3 linked regions of the Drosophila melanogaster genome follow. The gene in region 1 interacts genetically with each later gene. Each region holds a gene or a part of one and is shown in the gene's direction. Other genes may lie near its edges.

Region 1 (4,671 bases):
CCTTGGCTGATAAATACGATGGGCTATAATAAGGGATTTGGTATCGAATTGATGGCTCTGCTGGTGGATCGCATTCGTCCCACGGATCTTGTACAGATTGCCAGTCCCATTCCAATCAATAACTTTGATTCTGTCCTCGACCGGAACAGTCTGTCGCAGATAAAACCAATTATATACTCTGCGGAGGAGTTCAAGATCAATGAAATACCAAAATACACACTCCATAAGCTGATAAGTGCAGTGCCTGCAAGGGAAAAAGGAACTTGGAGTCTCAGCGCCAAGGACATGCGGTACTCCAATCTTCTGGCACGTCTCAGTTCCTGCCTGACTGGAAATGCCAAATCTCTTACAGACTGCCAGCCGTTGGGAGTGTCTTTGGAATCCCTGAAAATCCTGCATCCCACCAGCAAGAATTACTCGCGCGAAGAACTGATTCGAGGCATGGAGGCTAATGTAGTATATCTGTGCCATCACGGAGCAGGTCTGCCCCAATGTTTGGGAATAGGTTTGTACACATTCACGTTCTTTTGTGGCTTATTAATTGAATTCCAAAATTCTTTTAGGTGTGGTTCGCGCCATCGACTACGAGCGCAAGGAGTTATACCTGGTGCCAGCAATGCCGCTACAAAAGATGTCCCTGGTGGATTGTCTTATCCTCGGCGGGGAACAGTCCCTGCCGCAGGGCTTCCTTCGGGATCAGGGCCAAGGTGTGTCCAGCAGTGTGCCCTTCGTGTTCATCCTTGACGATTCGAAATCTTCGAAGAGTATTCAGCAGATCTACCATCGAGCGCCAGCCTTTCTGGGAGTACCAGCGAATCAACGAAACTAAAACTGAGCTTACTGTAGCAATCGCAATCGGATAACATTGTAAATAAAGTTAGGTTTATTAACACAAGGCTAGTGTGACAAATTGTGACGTCCTTTGAGGATCCGGTTCATCAGCACTCGTCGTCCCTCAGGCGTCGACATCCTAGCATTCCAGCCGTGGACATTAATTCTCTTCACCTCCATGGGTTTCGGAAAATGGCAGCGTACTTTCGGTTTCAGCACCGCCCGGTTGAAAGCGTGCTTATCCCGCACGATTAGAGTTTGTGCGGTGCTGACAACCGCCAGGCAGGTCCTGCAATGCCAATGTATGTTATTATACCACTCAAAATAAATGGTATATTCATTATTTACTCGCCTTTGGAGCATTCCTTGCAGCATGTTAAGTAATTTCCAGTTAGTATGACCGCATGAAGTCCGAATAATACCGCCTGAACAGCCGGTAAGCCGCTTTGGCGTTGCCAGACCATTGGGTTCGAAATTTCGAACTTAGCTGCATGCTATTTTACGTTAGCATGTAAAATGCATTACATATAGATGGAATCATACAATTAATCTAAAAAATCGTCATAATATTGGTCAAATGGAAAACCACCATATGGGGACAAATTAGATAAACCGCTTTTAATTGAATGGATCTGAAAGTAACCGAAAACTTTTTAAATATGGAATGAATATGTTTGGTTGTACATATATCGAATTGGTATTGTGCCATCTCTAGCTACCCACGATGGTTGTGGCAGCGCAGCTGTTGCAAATGAATCCACAAGATACATTTCGGTATATTTTCCGCAACGGATTCTTTTCCACCCTCAGTTGCGGTCACACTGCCTAGCCAACAACAACCACAACTCGGTGCCGTTAGGGCTGCGTTTGTTTTCTGCTCCCATTCAGCTGCATAGAAAAGAAAGAAAAGTGAAAAGTGTTCGGAAAACAGGCAGCATGTGAAGCATAATTACTCCACGGAATTACTATCTCAAACGAAATAGTTGTCGCCGAAAAGAAGTGCGTAAAATCGCGAGTGAGCTCGTGAAAATAGAATAAAAAAGCGCTCTGCAATTGAAGAGAAACATTGCTGCAGTCGTGTGTACGTGCGTGTGTTTGTGCGTGCGAGTGTGAGTGTCGCTCTCTGGACGCAATTTCTTTGGCCAAAAGAGTGGGGAAGTGGGGCAGGAGAGTCCCGAATCGAATCCCCGAAACAGGCAATCCGAATCCGAATCCGGTGCATTAAAAATAGCGCAACGAGGTGAGTAAAGATGCAAACTGCAGCATTCAGTTCACGAGCTGATGCCAACAAAAAGAACTCCAATTAGCCATGTCTGCAGCCAGCCAAAAAAATAATGAAGAACGGCAGAAAAAATACAACAAGAAAATCGATTTTCCTGAACTTACAATTTTCTCCGCCTCACTGGGCAAAAGGGGGGGCGAAATGGAGCTTGGGGAGCCGGCTACGGCTCCATAAAGTATACATAAATTGAATTTCGAAACACGGAAGCGAAATGGATGCACTGGACGAAATAATGAATAAATTATTTTGATATCGAAAAGTTATTCTCGTTAGAAAAAGTTTCGCTGAGGGTCTCGAACGCAGTCTGTTTTTATAAAAGCATATTATTTAGCCTTATCAAGCAAGAGGATGAATAAAATTGCATTAAAATGTATTTCGACTAAATTTCGACTTGCTATACTTTATTTCTCTGCGTGTAAAAGGGGGCAGGAGGCTGCACACGGCTGTTGTTCTTGTTTTGTTTGCTGGTGTGGATGATGATGGAAATACTTGCATATGTGTGTGCGTTCTGCACAGAGGGAGATGTAAAAATTGAAAAATCTGACCAGAAGCAGGACCCTCCGACTTTTGGTCCAGTTGTCATGGCCACCGCACTTAACAAATGATTTTAGCGGCCACTTTTTCCCGGATGCGAATGGGGCAGCTGTCACTCCGTTTGCCTCCTCCTCCTTTTCTCCTTTTTCTGATTTCATCTGTCTGCCCCTTTCTATCTTGCTCTCTCCCCGTGTTCTCCAACGTGTGTGTGTGTGTGTGCGTATTTTGATGACGGCACTCAGTTTCCGCCCGCACTGTGATTTTTGGCCATACACGGCACCAATGTTTCAGTACAGTGGAACCTGGTGCGCAGGAACCAAATGAAGTTAAGTTTAAAACTGCATTTACTGCGACCATTTATGAAATTTTTTAAATGAGTTACATTTCAGGTTCTTCTAGATTTGTTTTAATGTGAGTAAACAATTTCTGCTTTAAAACGTAAAACTCACATGTACATAATATACAATTGTTGGCAAAGCAATAAAAACTTATTACTACCATAAAAATAAATAGGTCGACATTTTCAGACGCAAGAACGCATAGAATGTGTGAACAATACGTACAATAGCTTATTGACACAATATTTAGCATTCAGCGGATTAACTCATCAACGTTGGTTTTTGATTGAATGTGTTATATTATCTATTTATGTACATATTATATTATATAATATTTCGGCATAGGCTTTAACTAACTTTATGCTTGCCACTGTTTAAACTGGCTTGGTTTATCATACGTTTTTCCCAATTCGCGAGTGCCTACTGTAGAAAATCCCCGGCATTACCACTCAGTTTTCGGCACTCTTTTGCGGATGCTGCGTACGCAAAAAGGGGACGTCGGCTGTTCTAAGAGGACTAGATGTTTCCTTTTCACTTCCGCCAGCACCCCTAAATTACGTGTCTCTGTGTGAGTGTCTCTGCACGTGTGTGTGTTGCGTGCAAGTGTGTTTGTGTGTGTGGGCCAACAAAATTACTTTTACGAGCATTTAGCATAGGTTGTTGTCCCTTCGCCCATTTCCCCGGTTTCCCTTCGCCACCAGTTAGTTTTATTTTGATGCGTTTTTAATCAGATTGCGTCAATTTGTTGCTGGCCCAACGATGAGGGCGGTCCCGGTGGAGGGGGGGGGCGTTGGGATTGTCCTATTAGCGCTTGTGTGGGAGTGAGCGACCATTTCCCGGGTTGCGTGTCAAGTGCAGACCCTTTTTTCGCCCGCTTTTTTCACTAATTATAAGAATGTCTGTTTTGGCCTCGCATCTGGATGATGGCTCGTCATTGGGCTTACATTCTCGCTTTTGATGACTCAAAACTTAACTTTTCACTTTTGCAGTTCTCTTTGTGGCACCCACGCAATTAATTGGATTGATAGATTGAAAGCCTTTTGTTTTTAATTTTAGCAAATTAAATGCAAGAATAATACTTAAATGATTATATAGATATAAACTTTGAAATTTGATTATGATAATATGATAATATGAAAACAACTTGTGCTGAAGGAGAGACAGCCGAAGTTTAGGCACCAATTTGCCAGCAAAAGATAACAAGAATTCATTGAATTATGTTTGTTTTAACCAGTTAGGTTATGCATTCTTATGTAAAGTTTACCTTTTCTATAAACTGTAACTGATGTTAAATTTCATTTTTTGTATTCGTTAGTTAGTTAGTAAGGGGATCAACACTTCGTTGTTCAGTCGCCTTGTTTTTCTTAGTACCAATTCTTTTTGCTTTGCGCTTCTCCGTGGCCCGTTAAAGTACAGAAATACTTGGCCAGGCCGGCCGGAGTGCGAGTATCGTATCTATCATGGCGGCAGCTGTCCAATTCTCCAACCAGCCGGCACTGGATCGCTGTTTGTTGTTGTTGCTCTTGTATCTGCTGTCTGTCGTCTTCATCAACGCCTTAGTATCTGTGTTCGCTTGCTTATTTATTTGTGTGCGAGAGTGAGTAAGTGGCGCTGTGTGTGTTGTTGGCTTGAACTTTATGGCATTGCGTTGTTTTATGTTTGTTTTTAGCATTGGCCTGTGTTGCT
Region 2 (4,563 bases), 9.1 Mb from region 1:
ATTATTTACTTAACACTTAACCATGTTTTTGCAATCATTCCTAATTAGAAGTTCAATTGATATTAGTGCTAATATTTCATAGAGCTTAAAAAAGGGCTTGGCAATCAGAATGTAGAGATGATGACATCACAAAAATCACGTATATCTCTCGTCCAAATCAAGAACCATACATATGTGCTAACCAATTCAATGACTAATCAAATTATGAGCAGATCCCGCATTCGAGTTAACAAAATCCAACCGAAATTGCGTGCATGAGACTTTGGACTGCCTGCCTGAGGCAGCGTTCACTGTATCGGAGGCCCAGGGACCACATTGTCGACCTCTTCCTGGCTTACTCTGCTGGGCGTAGCTGGCGGCGCTCTTGTAGTAAGCCTGCTGCTGACTCGGCGGCGATGGACTCCTGCCACGTTTTCCTGGCTGTCCGCCGGACGGGAGCTGCGAGGAAAAAAGAGGACCATTAGAACCTGAATCCCACAATTGCGCAGTCGAGACCTTCTGCATCAGCGTATGGTGCTGGTGTTGGAGGCGCAGGGGCGGCAGGAAGACCGGGCTACTGGCCGCCGCCTGCTGGATGGCGAACAGTTCGTTCTCCTTGGCCAGCTTCTTGCGCGTTTCGTCCTCGTTGAGCACCTTCTTGAGTTGGACGGTCAGCTGATGCTTCTGGCTGTGCAGATCGGCCAGCTGCTCGTCCAGTCGGGTTATCTGGCCGCGTGTGTCATCCAGGGCCACCTGGTTCTGGCGCTCCACCTCCTCGCGCTCCCGTCGCAGCCGCTGCTCCTCGCACTGAGCCTCGAACTCCTCCTGGCGCCGCTGGCGGTCCGCCACGATGAAGCCCTTCAGTGCCCCGCGCAGCTTCTCCGCCCGCTCGGCCTTCGCCGCCTGGGCGGCCGCGTTGCTGTTGTTTACCGCTGATGCTGGCGGCATCTTTGTGCTCTGCTTAGTTATCTTGCCAATTTTATAAGCGTTCGTGGACGACCGGGCAATCGCGACTGTTTGACCGAACCGACCGAGAGGCTCCCCAAATGGAATGGCGTGCTGGTGGCGGTGGGCTGGAATCCGGGTGGACACCGCTACGGGAATCAATGGTTGGGCGTCTTGGGATCACTGCAAATGCTCGACGCCGGGCTGCACTTTATTTTCGTTCACTTTCAGCACGGTTTTTTGTGGTAAACAATTTGTTGAGTGAGTGGGATGTGCCGACCAGTGTTGCCACCAATCGATTAATGGGCAAAGCTAGCTAGAAAATAGCTACTTTCCGATTGTGGTGGCAAATCTTAAGTTAACGTTCGAACTAAATCACTTATAAAGAATTCGATTTTTTCTTTAAAGCTTATATTCCTAATATTACTAGTCACACCCCAGAATTTAATATAAAATACAAATAGTTTCAACACTGATCGATACTTATCGATAACTTTTTGGAAACAGATTATAGTTTTTGGAAAATCCAAGCATTAAAGTCTAGACATTCTAGAAATGTCTATCGATGTTAATAAAATGCGTAAGCATCGATATGGCATCTCTCATTGGAGGTATCGTGCAGCTCGAGCTCTGCGGTCACACTAGAATTGCAGTTGTTGGTGTGAACGTCTGAACGCGATTCGGAAAATACGGATTACACGGATAATACGAATTATACGGATATTGCGGAAGTTGAACGGAGACGCGACTGAAAGAAAGCCGTGAAATGTGTTCAGTTGCGCGCAGCAGTCATTAGCCTATCAGCAGTGTTTGTTACAAGCTAACAGTGATACAACGTGCCTGGAATCGCAACCAACGCAGAGCAAGAAAAGCAGAAAAGCATAAAAACGGAAGAAGCAGCAGCGGAATAATCAACAAAGGCGGCAAACATGGCGAGTGAGTAACATCGAGCATTTCTCTGCCTATGGAGCATCCCAAACGACATACAGCAGACCCCGGATTCCTTTTCCATAGCATAAACAAACGCAATTCATGCGAGTCATTGCAGCGGCCGTTTTATGGCTGCAGTGCAGCATTTACGAGCTGCGAAAACTTCCAAATCGCTGCCAGGTGTCGGAGGAAGTTGCTCCGAGCAGGGGCAGTGGGGTGGGGGCGGGCGATGCGGCTCCCTAGACAAGATGTGTGTGTTTGCCGGGGACATGTGAGAAAAATCAATACTTATGCTCCCCACTCCCCATCCCACTGCACAGTGGGCCGGTCGGATTAGGCAGATGCCGTGCTCCTGCTGCTGTGCGCACCCACTTATCGCGGCCAACAGGGTCAGCGCTTCCCAATCAGAAATCCCGCTCTTTTATCCTTTAATGGCCCCGGCAGTTCTGGCGGGAATTAAGTGCGGCTGAGACAGCGGCCACCACCGTTTTGCACGAACCCGCCACCCGAGCCGCCCACTCCACCGCAGCACAGGAGGAATAGGAATGGGAACTGGGAACAGCAGTGACGACGCATTAATAAATGAGAATATGCCTCCTGCGAGGTGCCAGGTTTACCGGCGTGTCGCAACACTCCCCGCAGTCCTCACAATTCGTTTTATCCCCACGGGGGGTGATATAGCAAACAAAACGATGAAGTCATGCACAGTGAGAAATCTATGGCAACTTTGTTGAATTGTTGATAAACATTACAATTAGGACAATCTTCACAGATTAAGCTTAAAAGGGCTTAAAATTCGATACTACTTTGCAGTCAAAGCGCAGTCATTGTCAAGATAAAGCTGTGACTAACTAAAAGAAACCCCTTTTTTTCTTGTGTTTCTCAGTGTAGTTGGATGTGTAACGTACGCACTGGATGTGTTATATTTGGGTCAGTCACCGATGAGAATTGTTAAACGTAAACAAGTCTCTAAACTTCTTAGTTTTCAAACGTGACTGCACCGAATCAACACATACATAAACACTGGCCACAGACTGTACTGTTTGTATACCCTTTCCCGAGGGGAACCTGTGCAGAACGACAACAAACAGCACTTGAACGCGCCGGCAATCCCGGCCTCGAAACTTCCCCTTTTTCAGGAGGGGTGCTGCATCCCAATCCCCACACCACTGTACACCTCACTTGTCTACAGAACCCACCAGCTGCGCCCAGCGTAGCGAGACCCATTTCCACACTGAAAACAATTCGTGGTTCTTGTTCATTTTAATTCATATGCAAGCACTGGGAAACTTGCGCTGAATATATGATTTTCAAGACCTGTCATTCGGAGCATTCATTAAGTGTTACATAAGTTTTATACCTGAAGTATAGTACATTGAAATACTATTCGACATTACTATAGATTGTTTTGAAATCTAATGAAAGGACATCTATAAAATTCAAGGATGCAGGCCATTGGACCGTTGCGGCATGATTTACTCGCTGTGCAGATCCCAGCTGCGAGATGCTTGCCACGTCCTCCCTGCGGCTCAGTCACTTTGGACTTTAATTGGTCCTTTGTGACTGCATTTGTCGACGCTTTCGCTCGGCGTCTTCGACGCAATTTGACTGCTGTCCTTGAGGCTGTGGCTACCATCAACCCCGAGGCTGGGAGTCTGATAAGGAAGAGGATATCAGCTGCCAAAGCAGGCCGCTCCCCTCGCCAGATTCCAGATTCTAGATTCCGGAGCTGCTGCCTCTTTATTGTTATTGTTATTATTTTGGGCTTTTCCATTCGTTCCACGCAGCTTACCCAGATTAGCTGGCTGTTATTGTAGTTTGCCCGGCTTCGAATTTATTGTCCTTTTCCACCTCCTTCTTGCGTATTCCGGCGTCGTTGCTTCATTTGCTTCAAATCTAGCTGGGTGACTTGTGATTTCCCCGTGCCTAGCGCCTTCCACTCGCTTTATTCTTTTAACTGCTAATAAGATTTTGGCCCTTCTAATGGCCTTGAGAATGAATGGGGCGAGCAGGCCGCCTTGAAAAGATGAAATTGTGGGGTGGTTGGTGGCTAGCTCTGTTTTAATTGAGTTCGTGCCCTATTCAAATTGGCATAGAAATTAATTTCAATTAACTTTCGAGTCTTTTCGAGGAGGCTATGTGTGTCCCCTTGACAAGTTGTGGAGCATACTTTACGGGGCCAAAAGAGGGTTGGCATTTTGGGGAATCCCCCATCGACAGAACGTTCTAACTTGTGTGCTTCAAGTGTGCAACTTGTGTGCAAACTTTTAGTTTTTTCCGCTCTAAACTAAGCAACTTGTACAACTTGTGTCAACTTTTAAGTTGGTAAATTCGTTGGTATTTACACGAGTACTGCATGATTTAAATGTTCAATAAGCTGGCTGGTATGTAAAAAACGGATTCAAGTTGTCTTTTCTCAAGTGTTCATTGTGTTGACATACAAAATGTTGACTGGCGAAAGTCAATTTGTATTTAAGTTTGCAGCTACATATACATATACAGTCAACTTAGTTCGAAACTATTTCGGCTACCTCTAATATACATACAAAAGCACTTTGTTAAATTCACCAACTCGGTGGATTGTCCCAGAACAACAAACCAAAATTTAAAATTTGCAAACGAACAGAGAAAAACGAATCCTTTTTTGTCTTCTCACGCTGCTGGGAAGGAGAAGAAAGTAACCAAGAACTGGAGGACGACGACTTCACA
Region 3 (4,663 bases), on another chromosome or scaffold:
ACAACCTGTGTATATAAAGGGACGGGAATCGGCGTTTTAAAATGTAGTGCAAAATTCGAGGCATCACGAAGAGTTCGTCTGTTAGTACGATTCGGATTCTTAATGCAAATTGGGTTGCGTGAAGACGGTATAAAAAAGATCGCTAAATTCCCTTGGATTTCGAAAGAAACAACCAGGCAACGTGACTCAATTGCCACAATTTGGCTCTGTCCCACAAAAAAAATGAACAGAGAACAAAGCGGTGAGTAAACGGCTAAAACTACCTGCATTAAAAGAAATAAAAAAAGGCCAAAGATGCAGGAGGGACAAGGAAAAAGGGCCAGAGGACAGGCCAAACTTGTTGAGCCCGGGATTAAGAGAAACAACAGATAAAGAAACAGTCGGGGATGCGTAGGAAACCCAATTTACAATTATGAATGATTAATTCCCTTTCCAGCGAACTCCTCAACTGGTTATTGCTATGTGTAGTACTGCTTTGTTACGAAATTCGGTCAAAATATGGGAAAATTCTTTCAGAGCATTTCGGAACTTCGAATATGTTAAAAAAGTAATTACTTTCCAGTAATGCGAAGGGTATATAGAGATAAAATTCGAGATATTTCTTTTTAAAACTTAGGACCTAAATCTGTAGTCATACTAATGGGTTTTCGTTTCTGGCTGGCATTTAAGTCTTTTTCGCGTTACTAAATTGAAGTACTACTAAACCACTATCCTCCAGGTGTCCACACCCCGAATCAGGCCAACGTATGATGGTGTTTCTGGTCGGGATAGTTCTCTATGGATTGAATGGAGCGCGATGTGGCGGCAGTAATGGTTGAAGATACGTCCATAAACCGATATTTCTTGTCATCGCGACAGAGTAAGGGGTAGCAAATGATGCCGTAGTAGAAGACGAGGCAGAGAACGATTACGGTGAAGATGATGGCGATGATGCCGAATGTGGAGATTCCGGGTCGACTATCCAGATACTCCTTGGCCGTCTGCGGGGGCTGGGTGGTGGTGGGCGGTTCCGTGGCCTTGTAACCCCTTCGATTGTTCCGCGCTGCACTCGCACTGAAAACCAAGCAGCTGGCGCCTGCAATAACGAGATGCGTATCCGTAAAATCTGATCGCGAGGCGATTTCTTCATTTCTTCTCCCTCTCTTTCGCTCACCTAAAAACAGCACACACAACAGGTACGAACTGCGAGACATTTTTAATTTATTTCGAATTTACGATTGAGCACGAACGCGGGGCGAAATCAGTTCGTTGGCACGAGAACGGGACGCAGACGCAGAACAGAGACTCGAGAATCACACAAAGCAACAAGAAAGCAAGACAAAAACCTTTCGCGTTGCTGGTAGGGACGGACTGTCGTTGCCTATCGATACATGAAGATAGCCATCGCTGTCGATGTTTCAAATCGCAATTACAAATTTTAAATTTATGGTATATATCATAGATTCATGTTAACAAAATTGTAAGTACGTTAGTGTATATTTTTAAATGAAATAAATAAATTCAATGAATAATTAATGTCTCTCGTCACGAAAAACGAATCAATATTAAACTAGACCTTTTTTAAAACTGCTAATCCGTGACTTTTTCCCTTAAAACGATATGTGACCGCGACTCAGTCACGCCGCTTAGCAACCATCGACCATCGCCAGCCAACATAGTTATCGATAACACGACGAAAATTTGGTTGCCGAGCGTGTGTGCGCTGCCCTGTCCGTGTACACTTTATTTTCAATTGGTGAAAATTGTTATAAAACTAGCGAGGAAATATGTGAAAATAAGAAAAGGCCCAATTTCGACACTCGAACTGTGCGTGCACAATCGAATTGGCGACCATCCGACCGCGAAAACCTGATAAAAGGCATAAAAATAACAAAGGCGTTAGCAAACGAACGACGGGCGAACGAAGGCATATAGACGCTTATACCGATCGTTCCCATACAGTTGTGTATATTTAGTCATTGCAACTGATTAACTTGACGCAAGTAAATGCAAGTATAAACTCAAAAACGGCCAACGCAGAGCAAAAGTACAGTGAAAATTGGTCGATTGTCGGCGCACGAAGACGAATACGAACAAAAGGAAGAAGAAGCGAACGAAACAAACGAGAAAGAGAAACCAAACGAACGGCGATTTTGCATTCGTGTGTGTGTTTGTATGTGCTCGAGTGCGCGCGCGTGTGTATGTGTGAGGGTGGAATATAAACAAAAAATAATTAACAATACGAATATCAAGAACGATTGCTCTACTTGGCGAAAAGTAAAATGTCACATTTGCCACTAGATGCACGGGCCATTCTCCAGTATCTAAATGATTTGGGCTATAGGAACATATCAGCCGAGCAACTCCGTGAATTTCTAAAAGGTAAGCAATCCGTACAAGTGTGCGTGCGTGTGTGTGTGGGATTGTTTTTGGTTTGTTATTTTGTATGCACAATTTTTTTTGGTTGCGGCTTTTCAAACTGAATTTCAAACGATTCGTCACCATTTCAATTTGTTTTTATTTCCAAAACGAACGTGCGTACAAAGCACAGACAAGAAAAAGAGCAGCGGCACAGGCAGAAATACGGAGCAATGGAAAAAAGAAAATATAAAAACGAGTATTACTTGGAAATTGTGAATAACACACTATACATACCCATGGCACAGTGGTTTGCAGCAACAAAATTCATTCGGACCAAAAATTTAGGAATAATCGAATAAAGGCCGGCCCGACATCGAAGGAAAACTGCTTTGGCAAGGTTCACGTACTGTGGCATAAATACATTTCAGTGGAAATCCTAAACACACGGCTCTTGTGACCCCACTGTTCTGTGTGTTTTTTGTACTTGGCTTGCTAGTCATAGTTGTTGTTGCTGCTGCCCTGGGCCTGCTTTTCTGCGTTTGCTCGTGTGTTTCGGCCTCCACCACATTGTAAGCTTCATCCGCAACTTCACATGAATTTTATCCACAAACATACATATGTACGCATACAGCAGCGGGTAAAGCGTTAGGGAAATGTCGATGTGCAATTTGAATTTGTAATATTAATAGAAAAATTGTCTTACGGAATATATTTTATTTACCTAATGCACAAAACTCATTACACTCATTAAAATGTCTATTTCGGTTATTTTAAATTGAAAGTGCTATAATTTCCACCGCAACTGTATGAATTGTGTGTGTGTGTTGTTTTTTTCCCTCCACTCTCTTTTTGTGTTTTGTGCGTTTTTCGTGTTATTTTTCGCTTTACTCCTTGTGTGCTCCTACTCTTTTTCTTATTTTTCCTTAGTTGTTGTTGCTACTGCTACCGCTTGAGGGTTGCCACTAGGGTTTCTTTCGTTTCTCTTTGCGCCAACGTTTCGTTTTGTAATGGCAAATATAAAGCGAGGGCAGAAAAAGTGCCAGCGCAGCGCTGATGTGCTCGTTTTTCAGGTTATATATATATTGACGCGCGTCAGTGCATATTGGCTAGGCATACAATTTATTTGCAAGTATTTACGAATGTGTTAGTACTGTGAACGGCAGGGTTGCCGGACTAATTGTCATTATGAGTTTAATATCGGTCATCGGCCATTATGGCTTTGTCAGCTCATTCGCATTGTTTTTTTGGGAGACGTAAAAAACCAAAACAACAAATATGAATGGAATGTGATAAGCCATATTGCGCAAATTAGCAAGAAATACAACGATAAGATGCATAATTATATTTGTTAGGGTTGACTTTATAAAATTAAATAATAATAGTATAAATAAAGAAAGTACAATTTATTAAATAGAGCTTATATACAAGCCGAGGTTAGTATGAGTGATTAAGAATAAGTGTCATCACCAACTGTTTTTTTTCTTGAATCGCTATTCTTCCACATTTGTTTTTTCGTGCCTGTTTTGTAAATATAACTGGTTTTTAATCAAATGCAACAATACAGTACAATTATGTTGCAGCTGTGTCACCCCTAATTTTTTCGCGTGCTGGCAACGCCTCGCTAAGCGTAGCCCCCCGACCTGGCAGCGCTATGCTGCAGCACAGCTGCTGCTTCTTCTTCTTCCACCCGCTTGGGTCGTGTTTCTGTGTTCCATTTAGTTTGGAATTAAAATAAATTAACTCACACTTAACACTCGATGGCCTTTTAGGCAATACATACCGAAATGCATCCAAGTGCAGTTATTGATTTGATTTGTGTGTATCCGAATGCAACATTGCATAACACACATCGGGAAACGTACAAGGAACAAGAGGAAGAAGAACCACCGGGAGTAGGATTTCCCCCACAGTGATTTATTTGTTTTTATATCATTTTTCGTGGCAAACAAGTTTAAAACGCGGTTGGTGTTGGATTTCCAGCTACGGTCGAATTTTGAATAAAAATTAAAAACTAAACCAATTATATCAATGGTTATAACTACAGCTTTAGACTGGTATAACTTTGTTCCAACTAAAATTGGAGGGAAACTTTATAGGAGTGGTTCTTGTTTTTAATAAAATGTTTTTAAATATTTGTGTTACTGAAACATTTTATAAGAACATGTACAACGTATTTGGATGTAATAAGTTGGAAATTAATATTACTTAAGTTCAATTTTTTTTTTTTTGTAAATAATCATTTTTATGGTCTGATTTTTAAATTTATTTTTGAGTGCAATGGTAAAATCTTAAGTTTCATTAAATTTAACTCTACATAAAGCAT

The links.
Region 2: of Dg (region 1) and vimar, changing one enhances a phenotype caused by changing the other (phenotypic enhancement), as found in Drosophila melanogaster (2 studies listed by BioGRID).
Region 3: of Dg (region 1) and chif, changing one enhances a phenotype caused by changing the other (phenotypic enhancement), as found in Drosophila melanogaster (2 studies listed by BioGRID).

Annotation. Positions count from the first base shown.
Region 1 is NT_033778.4:16,095,528-16,100,198, reverse strand, and holds the start of Dg (dystroglycan), read left to right. Parts: upstream 1-1,634; 5' UTR 1,635-2,071; intron 2,072-4,671. Other genes in the region: CG8414 (uncharacterized protein), read left to right, coding at 1-505, 564-829; mRpL34 (mitochondrial ribosomal protein L34), read right to left, coding at 898-1,120, 1,184-1,206.
Region 2 is NT_033778.4:6,982,709-6,987,271, reverse strand, and holds the start of vimar (visceral mesodermal armadillo-repeats), read left to right. Parts: upstream 1-1,559; 5' UTR 1,560-1,853; coding exon 1,854-1,860; intron 1,861-4,285; exon of another isoform or gene 4,286-4,563. Other genes in the region: CG17002 (uncharacterized protein), read right to left, coding at 339-438, 496-927. UniProt on the Drosophila melanogaster protein: Probably acts as a GEF (guanine nucleotide exchange factor) for the Rho family of small GTP-binding proteins (G proteins) that stimulates the dissociation of GDP to enable subsequent binding of GTP.
Region 3 is NT_033779.5:16,349,625-16,354,287, reverse strand, and holds the start of chif (chiffon), read left to right. Parts: upstream 1-1,659; 5' UTR 1,660-2,261; coding exon of another isoform or gene 2,262-2,361; intron 2,362-4,004; exon of another isoform or gene 4,005-4,301; intron 4,302-4,663. Other genes in the region: CG4455 (uncharacterized protein), read right to left, coding at 735-1,075, 1,154-1,193; Hyls1 centriolar and ciliogenesis associated, read left to right, coding at 2,262-2,361. UniProt on the Drosophila melanogaster protein: A bicistronic gene producing two proteins that are components of different complexes and have separate properties and functions.